Xenopus tropicalis: one gene and its partner. The protein of the gene in region 1 interacts with the protein of each later gene in a pairwise test. Links are inferred from orthologs where the notes say so. Each region holds a gene or a part of one and is shown on either strand. Other genes may lie near its edges. The genes, in order: mycbpap and mycbp.

Evidence for each region.
Region 2: the proteins of mycbpap (region 1) and mycbp interact in binary tests that used the Homo sapiens proteins (3 or more experiments, as listed by UniProt). The link is inferred for Xenopus tropicalis from reciprocal best matches to the Homo sapiens genes MYCBPAP and MYCBP.

The regions. Positions count from the first base shown.
Region 1 is NC_030686.2:43,588,721-43,592,544, reverse strand, and holds part of mycbpap (MYCBP-associated protein), read right to left. Parts: intron 3,536-3,824; coding exon 3,382-3,535; intron 2,553-3,381; coding exon 2,446-2,552; intron 1,373-2,445; coding exon 1,204-1,372; intron 929-1,203; coding exon 813-928; intron 723-812; coding exon 572-722; intron 467-571; coding exon 357-466; intron 1-356. UniProt on the Homo sapiens protein: May play a role in spermatogenesis. May be involved in synaptic processes.
Region 2 is NC_030678.2:80,435,151-80,439,466, reverse strand, and holds the end of mycbp (C-Myc-binding protein), read left to right. Parts: intron 1-1,609; coding exon 1,610-1,739; intron 1,740-3,436; coding exon 3,437-3,490; 3' UTR 3,491-3,654; downstream 3,655-4,316. UniProt on the Homo sapiens protein: May control the transcriptional activity of MYC. Stimulates the activation of E box-dependent transcription by MYC.

The DNA of each region.
Region 1 (3,824 bases):
CTAACAGTTATTACTGGCAGTATGTTAGAGGAGAAAAGTAATTCATGATGTTGGTGGGAAGTGCCAGGGGTACCTTACAAGGTGGGCTAATAGTCACTGTGTGAATGTGTTGGGGTGAGGTTAATCAGTGGCAATGTGTAAGTGAAGCTTTACTAGGGTAACACTTTCATTGCGCTGGGGGTGGAGGGAATTGTATTCCTAGTGACGTCAGAGGTATCACGATAGCTGTTGTGCTGTTTTTCCTTTTGTGTAGGGATAGGAAACAGATGTCTAGGGTGAACTATATCTTTGTTACTCAGTAAGAGCATTTGAGCATAGCTAGCTTTGTACCAAGTGAATTACAGAATGTCTCTCACTGGCTTGGGAAAGTTCAGCTCCTCCATGACAGCTCTCAACTCGTGTCGCCGCTGCTCAAGGTAAAGACTCTTATCCCAACTGCGGTCATATGCTGAGCGAAGTGTAGCACCTGGAAACCATCCCAGAATAAGGTTAAGAACTCCTCTGATACTCATGTTGTTTCTCACTGAGCACCATTGCTATGTGAGGGAAAGTGTTTACAGATGTGACATACCTGTTTCTTCCTTGACGTTATGCGGTTTGCCAATACGAGTGATTGGTACTGGGTAACCACGATCACTTCTGGGAAGGGTCAATGTTAAGCCACTAAGCTCATCCCCAATGCGCTGAGGCAACTTCCAGAACTCGCTCCCAAGCTGCCGGCCCTATTAGGGTTGGAGAAATTGATATTGATAAAAGCACCTTATTATTACTACTTTTCCCCATACCAGCCTCGAGATTCCCTGCAGTCTTACCTTTCCATGCTCCGCTGCTGAGATGCTGAGGTCAATCAGTTGTTTCTCCTCTTGCACACTTCGGAAACCCTCCCCAAGGTTCATAACAAGGCTATCAGCAGGCTTACCCAGCCGACCTGAGTTACACAAAGAAATGGGATCTGAGAGCTGCAAAGGACCAGGAAACTATGGACAAAAGAACTTCAAAAAAGGTGAATGTGGAAATAACAGAGGTGCTGAAAGATGGTAGAAGAAAAGACTGTTGATTATATATTCTGCGTTACTTGTCAGCAGTGCCTTGGCCTATATAAATCAACTTGTACATAGCAAATATGTAACTGCAGGGCTTACACGAGGGCAGTCATTGATTAGGAAAAGGAAACATACAGCATCACTCACACATCCAACTCACGGGACAGTGTCTCCACCTGCTGCTTTCTCAGGCTCATGTGATGTTGCCAGTTGATCAGAGAGCTGTCTTGTTTTATAGGGAGCACTGAATCATCTTTGTTCTGTTGAAGCCCCATTTTTTCATATTTTCTGAAACCCATTTGGATAGGCTCAGGAATAAGTTCGGCTACCTGGGTAAAGGCCAAACTCTGCATTAACTTCCAGACACTAGAACCACATAAAATATGTGGCTAAATACTGACTGTGTTCATGTATTACTAGCACCGAATCCAACTTATATCTGCAAAAATATGCCTATTTGCCTCTCAGTTTCCTCTCAAGGTAACCTTGACGACATCAGCAAATCGCGGCGCTGCATATGCCATCCCACCAGCGATTTACATTCTAGCCGGTGGGATGGCATTGCAGGGAGATTAGTCGCACGCGGCAAAGGAGATTTATCGCGGCATGACTAATCTCCTCGTGTACCCCTGCTCTTAAAAATGTACCACCCCTTTGGTGTCTCAAAGTGGCCATAAATGGTAAGATTCCGTTGGTGGCGAGGTAGCCAAACAAGCAAATCTTTACCAATATGCCCACCATGCGTGGCCGATATCGTGCTTATGTAATTGCATTGCAATGAAAGGGATATGAGCAGGGCCGGATTTCCAAATTAGCTGCCCCGAGGCCGCCCCCGGTCGCACACCCCCCTCCCCAGAGTGCGCATGTGTGCGCGATACAGGGGAGAGGGGTTTCCGTGCGCATGTGCGAACAGCGGGGGGGGGGGGGTTGTGCGCGCGCATGCGCAGTGGGCCAAACTTGCATACGGAGCAGTGGGGAGAAGTCCCCCCATTGCTCCGTATGGGTACAAAACTTTTTAGACCTTTTAGACCTTTTTAGGTTTCTGTCGCCCTAGGCCCGGGCCTTTGTGGCCTCTCCACAAATCCGGGCCTGGATATGAGTAATCGGTGCAAGAACTGCATCAATTAGATGATGTGGGCCTTGATCCGACAGAAATATCAAGCCTGCCGTAATGACAACTGGCTGATTTTTGGGCAGATATCGGTCGGGAAGGTCTGTCAGTATGGCCTCCCTGTATTTACGGATTTTATGATGTTAATGAATATGTGGTCATGTACAAAAGTATAAATCTGTTGTACCACAGCATCACTATTACAAGTAGGCGGTATTACCTCCACCTGAACAAGCATTAGGAATTAACAGTCAGTCAGACACAGGAAGGCCTTTGTGGCTTGAGGGATACCTGCATATTTCCCCGTGCTGAAGCAACTCTTTTCAAGTCTTGCAGAGTTCCCAGGATGCTGTGTGGTTGAATTTGGTTCTGTGATCCAGACAGACTGAATTCATTCCCTGTAACAAGATAAAAAAAATACTGTTCATTGCAGAGTGAGGCTGCGGTGTTGTAGCCAAGTACAGCGACCCAAATAAAGAGCACCCCCAGTTCTCAGTAGATGAGAGGAATAGATAGAGGGGAACTTACAAGAGATAAATCAGTGCTGGGAAATCATTATAGTACTAACTGAATTTAAGAAGGGGTTTTTCTGCAATAGTATTAGGTTAGCCATTTCTAGCTACTACTGGGATACAAGTTAGTAGTGTATTAAAGGGGGTTGTTCACCTTTGAGTTTACTTTTAGTATGATGTAGATAGAGAGTAATATTCTGAGACAATTTACAGTTGGTCTTCTTTTTTTATTAATTATAGTTTTTTTAGTTATTTAACTGTAGCTCTCCAGTTTGGAGTTTCAGCAGATGTTTAGTTGCTGGGGTCCAAGTTACCTTAGCAACCAGGGAGTGGATTGGAAGAGAGACAATAACAATAATAAAACTGTGGTCTCACAGAGCAATAGTTTTTATGCACCGGGGTCAATATCCCCCATTTAAAATCTGCAAAGAGTTGGAAGAACAAGGCAAATAATTCAAAAACTATAACACATAAATAATGAAGACCAGTCGAAAAGTTGCTTAGAATTTGCCATTCTATAATATATTTAAGGGTGAGCCACCCCTTTAATTACAACACAATGTCTGTTTTCCCATGCCAGTTTGCTTACTGTCCTGTAATGCATCCAAAATCGCAATCTCTGCACCTGTTTCCAATAATAAAAGACTACACATTTATGGATTTGAGTTGCTGTGCAATTTGCTGGCATCGACAGAGCAGAGACAAGCTGCCATACCTAAATATACCAGATCTCTAGTCTCCAACTCAGGAGGCGCAGGGCGGGCCACAAGTAGACGTCTCTTCCTTCCCTCTGCGTTATGCTTCCGAACCAAAACATGGTTAGTTCCAGCAATATTTTGCTCTTCTTTAGAAACACGAGGTGGGTGAATCTACAAAACAGGAGAGAAAATATACTTGTTTTAGAAATATACTTCTGAAAAGCAGAGGCATCTATCCTGCCACATCCTAAGTAGTGAGCAAACATAAAGCGCATGCCCCTACAGTTCTTTCATATAATGACTTTTATAAGACAACAGGGGTTATCCTAAGGGTCAAGACCCAAAAATAAGGTTTCAAGCTGTTCAGGGTGGGTCTAAAAAACATTTACAACAATTCAATGGCCCAGAGTAGCAATCTGTGGGTTCCGGCAAATGCCAGAGGGGCTGCTGTAAGATGCCA
Region 2 (4,316 bases), on another chromosome or scaffold:
TTTAGTATATAAAATATGGCATTTCTAGCTATATTCATTTTTACCAGCTGCTGGCATACCTTCAGTTCTTTCAATAGTGCCCTCAAGTCTCCCCATATTTCTCCTGTTCAGATGATCAGAAGCCAAACAGGAAGAAAAAACGCTGAGCCGTGTAAAGAAAGTTCCCATAATGCCTCACTACTGCACTGAGACCCAGACCAGTGTACATGCTCAGTTAGCCAATCAGCAGAAAGCTTCCTCATCGTCTAAGATCCACATTCCTAAGGGGGGAGGAACTGAGTTCTTAGCATTCTTGAGGGAGGGGGGAGCAGGAGAGGGGAGAGAGGAGAGAGCTGTGTGTATCTGGCAGAGGAAAACAGACACAACAAATCTTTTGAGAACTCTGAGTGCTTATGGCTGTATTTACTTGGAACTTTCTGATAAAGCTTACTTAGTTTTTACCTTTCTTTCTCCTTTAAAGGAGAAACAAAGGCAAAGTCACTTGGGGGTGCCAAAATGTTAGGCACCCCAAGTGACTTTAATTGCTTACCCCGTACCCTGGGCTGGTGCCCCTGTACGGAGAAAACCGCACCAGCCCGGGGTAGCAGCGCGTGCATACACAATAGAGTGAAAAGCCGAACTTTAACAGAAAAGTTGGCTACCCCGGGCTGGTGCTGTTCTCTCCGTAAAGGGGCACCAGCCCGGAGTACGAGGTAAGCGATTAAAGTCACTTGGGGGTGCCTAACATTTTGGCACCCCCAAGTGACTTTGCCTTTCCTTGTCCTTTAAGGACATTTTCTTTGAGTGATCAAAAGATTGTGTGTTGTTAGTAGGCACATATTGTGTATGAAAAATTATATTTTATAAGCCCAACGGTATTTCTTCTCACCATAAACCCAGGGAGTGTGGTTGAGGGCGAAAGGCCCCTTTAGTTATAAGGTTTCTTGAAGAATCCCTTGCTGCCCAATAGAGCAGAAGGAAATGCAACATGTGCCATTAGATTTAGTCTAATAATGGGTAGTGGTTTTTTTTAAGCATAGATTGATGGTTTATTTGTGAACCTGTGTTACGACATTTCTAAGCATTCAACACAGTGACTTGTTTCCCACTTTGTTAGTAAATAGGCAACTTTCCCCTGCCTGCCACTAAGGCCTGAAACTTTAGTTATTTCAGTACTGCATAAGCTGCTACAATACTACCAGCTAAGGTTCTGTATATACATCAGTTTGTTTTTACTGCTCTTACCATACATTGTGGTGCATTGCAAGGCAACACGTGTATTTTCTTATCTAATATTTCCGAATGTGTTTGTGTCCAAAGGTATAAAGGCCAATGCTTAATGCAATAAATATTGAGCAAGACAGATTTTTAACCATTGATCTCTGTTCTTCTTGGTACATGCCCATTTGGAAACATGAGATCAGTAACTTTTGCATTGCTATGTGCTACATTGCAAATCCCTTGTAAATTTTTAAATTATTCATAGGGATCTTGTAAAAAAAAAAAAAAACAAAACAAAAAACCCCCCAAAAACCCAAACTGCTCATACTAGCAATTGGAGTTCTATAAACTTGCATAGTAGAGAATATGTTTGCCAGTGTATTTTGGAAGTCCTTAACCTATTATGCAGCTTCTTAAAACAACACATGGGTGCTGCAGGACCTGAAACAGCAGATGTGGAAGCTCTTCGCTTAGAGGTAGCAGAACTGAAACAGAAATATGAGGCAGTACTAGAAGAAAACAAAGAACTGAAAGCAAAGGTATGTTGTGTTTGTTTCTTTTTATAATAGAGAAGCGCCCTTCTTTATTTAAATCTACACATATGTTCTTATAAAGCAGATAAGGCTGCACGTATATCACAAAAAAGGTGATGCAGGTTTATATAACTTTTGTTTAATGTATTTTGCTTAAACATGGCAAAGTAAATGTCAGCATCACTCAATGTGAACAAAGTTTGCAATCCAATAAACACAACCCAGTATAGGAGAATTACCACAGCAGTTTGGCAAAAAAAACCCAATATGCCCTTGATAAAGGCTCTACATTGTATGTTTTGGGGAGAGGGAGGCTACAAATAATCCTGGCATTTTTATCTACATTTCCATGAATGTTTGAGTGCTCCTTTCATTAAATTTAAAAGTATCTTAACTAGCTAACACAGCCGTTTTCAACCTGTGGTTTGGGACCCCGTTGGGGGTCGAACAACCCTTTCACAGGGGTCGCCTAAGGGCTCTGGTACACGGGGAGATTAGTCGCCCGCGAACAGGGAGTTTTGCCGTGGGCGACTAATCTCCCCGTGTACCAGAGCCCTAAGACCATCGGAAAACACATATTTCAGATGGTTTTAAGAATAATTTTATGGTTGGGGGTCACCAAAACATGAAGAACTGTATTAAAGGTTTGCGGCATTAGGAAGGTTGAGAGCCACTGAAGATTAATGCTATTGTTGGAGATTTATAATATTCTCCAAGCTAGGACTGGGCGGCAGCTTTTTTAAAGGATGGGAAAACTTGAAAATTTCTTTTTACTTTTTTTAATTACTAGTGAACAAAATTTGGCTGTCAGTGAAAAAAAAAATAGATTCTCTCTTGTTAACCTTTCTTTTCCAGCAGTAATGTTGTGAAAAAAAATTTTCAGTTATGTGAATATGCCATAGACTTACATAGTTATAATATTTCCTAAAGTTTGACAAATTGGATGACTAATTTGGAACAGCCTTGCAAGTTTGCATTGGCCTATAAGATAGATATTTAAATATTTTTTAACTTATGAACAAGTGTGCCACCATGCTCTTTCCTCAGGTGTTCTGTTATTGGCCCACATCAAAATCTATTGCTTGTCTATAGGCCAGGTGAAAGCATTATTATTACTCAGTTCCTTCTCTTATGGAATGTAAGACCCTTTAGCTATCCCTGCTGTTCCCTGGTTGTTTACATATTTACACAACATTATAATAACATCAAAAAGTTATGCATGAAGCAAGGCATGTGATCTGAAAAAGGTAATAAAATTGTGTACCACTTAACCATGGATGGCCATGGAATAACCTCATGTGATGGTGTAAACACATTTTTAAATACAAATCCTTGCTTTTTCAGGTGATGGAACTTTATCAGTAGTGCCACAAAATATACACAGTTGTAAGGGGGTGTGTCATACAGGACTGTACTGTTATAGAGTTTTAATATACAATATATAATAACAATCTATATATTTCAGTACATAGTCTGCATTACCTGTTTGTCTTGTACTGGTTATGTATTAATAGTTTTTTATATGTATACATTTGTCAGCCCTGAAGTTTAACTTGTAGATGGTCCATGTGTACCTGACTTTTTGTTAGTGTTAATTATGGCACACTGATTCTTATGTACAGTATATACTTTTGGAAATATTTAAATCTTATTCTGGTGTGTGCCCTCATTTTAAGCTAATTTTATTCCTTTTGCTCTTGCAGCTTGCACAACATGATCCAGCACAACATCTAGATGAAAAACGTTCCGAGACATAGATATTTTACATTCTACCTACATCAATACTGCACTGGAAATCCAAATATATAAGCTTGAATTTTGTTATATTTTGAGCACAGGAAAAGGCACATTTAGTGTCATATTTCTAAAATTATTTTCTATGTTCTCACAGTTCTAAATAAACTACTAATTTAAAGCAAAATTTTATTGTAGTTTTTTTGGGTGAGACTTTAGTGAATGTGTACCCTGTGTCAGCAGAGCAACTTCTGTGGGGCTTTTGTTCAAATCCAAGCAGACAGATATCCTCATTGAAACACATATATAATAGTACAATATAATTGTAATCAACATAAAAAAAAGTTGTAAAAATCAGGAAAGCAAAGATATAAAACGAGGAGCACATTGTGGCAGAGTCTAACACTAACCCTAAAAAGTATACTATTAGTAAAAAAAAAAAAAAATGCAGATTGAGGGTGTGGCTCCATTACATAATGATAAATAATGCGGTTATAATGGATACTGAAAAGGAAAATGTGCTTGTTCAGTTCTTTCCTTTTTTGTCGACAATTGAGAAGTTTCAATATCCACCCAATAGGGACACAGATAGCCCAGCTCAATGTAGTTAATGGTTTACAAGAGGATATGGTGCATAAAGGATTACTCAAAATTAATTTGAACAATGCACCAGGACCAGATGGAATACACCATTTGGTACTTAAAGATGTTAGTTCAGTTTTGGCTAGGCCTCTATTTCTGTTTTCTCAGACTCACTTTCATCTGATATGGTACCTACCCGGAGGAAAGCTGATGGCAATTATCCATGGGGAACAAGTTATTTAAAGGCTTGTTAAGGGATCACATTCT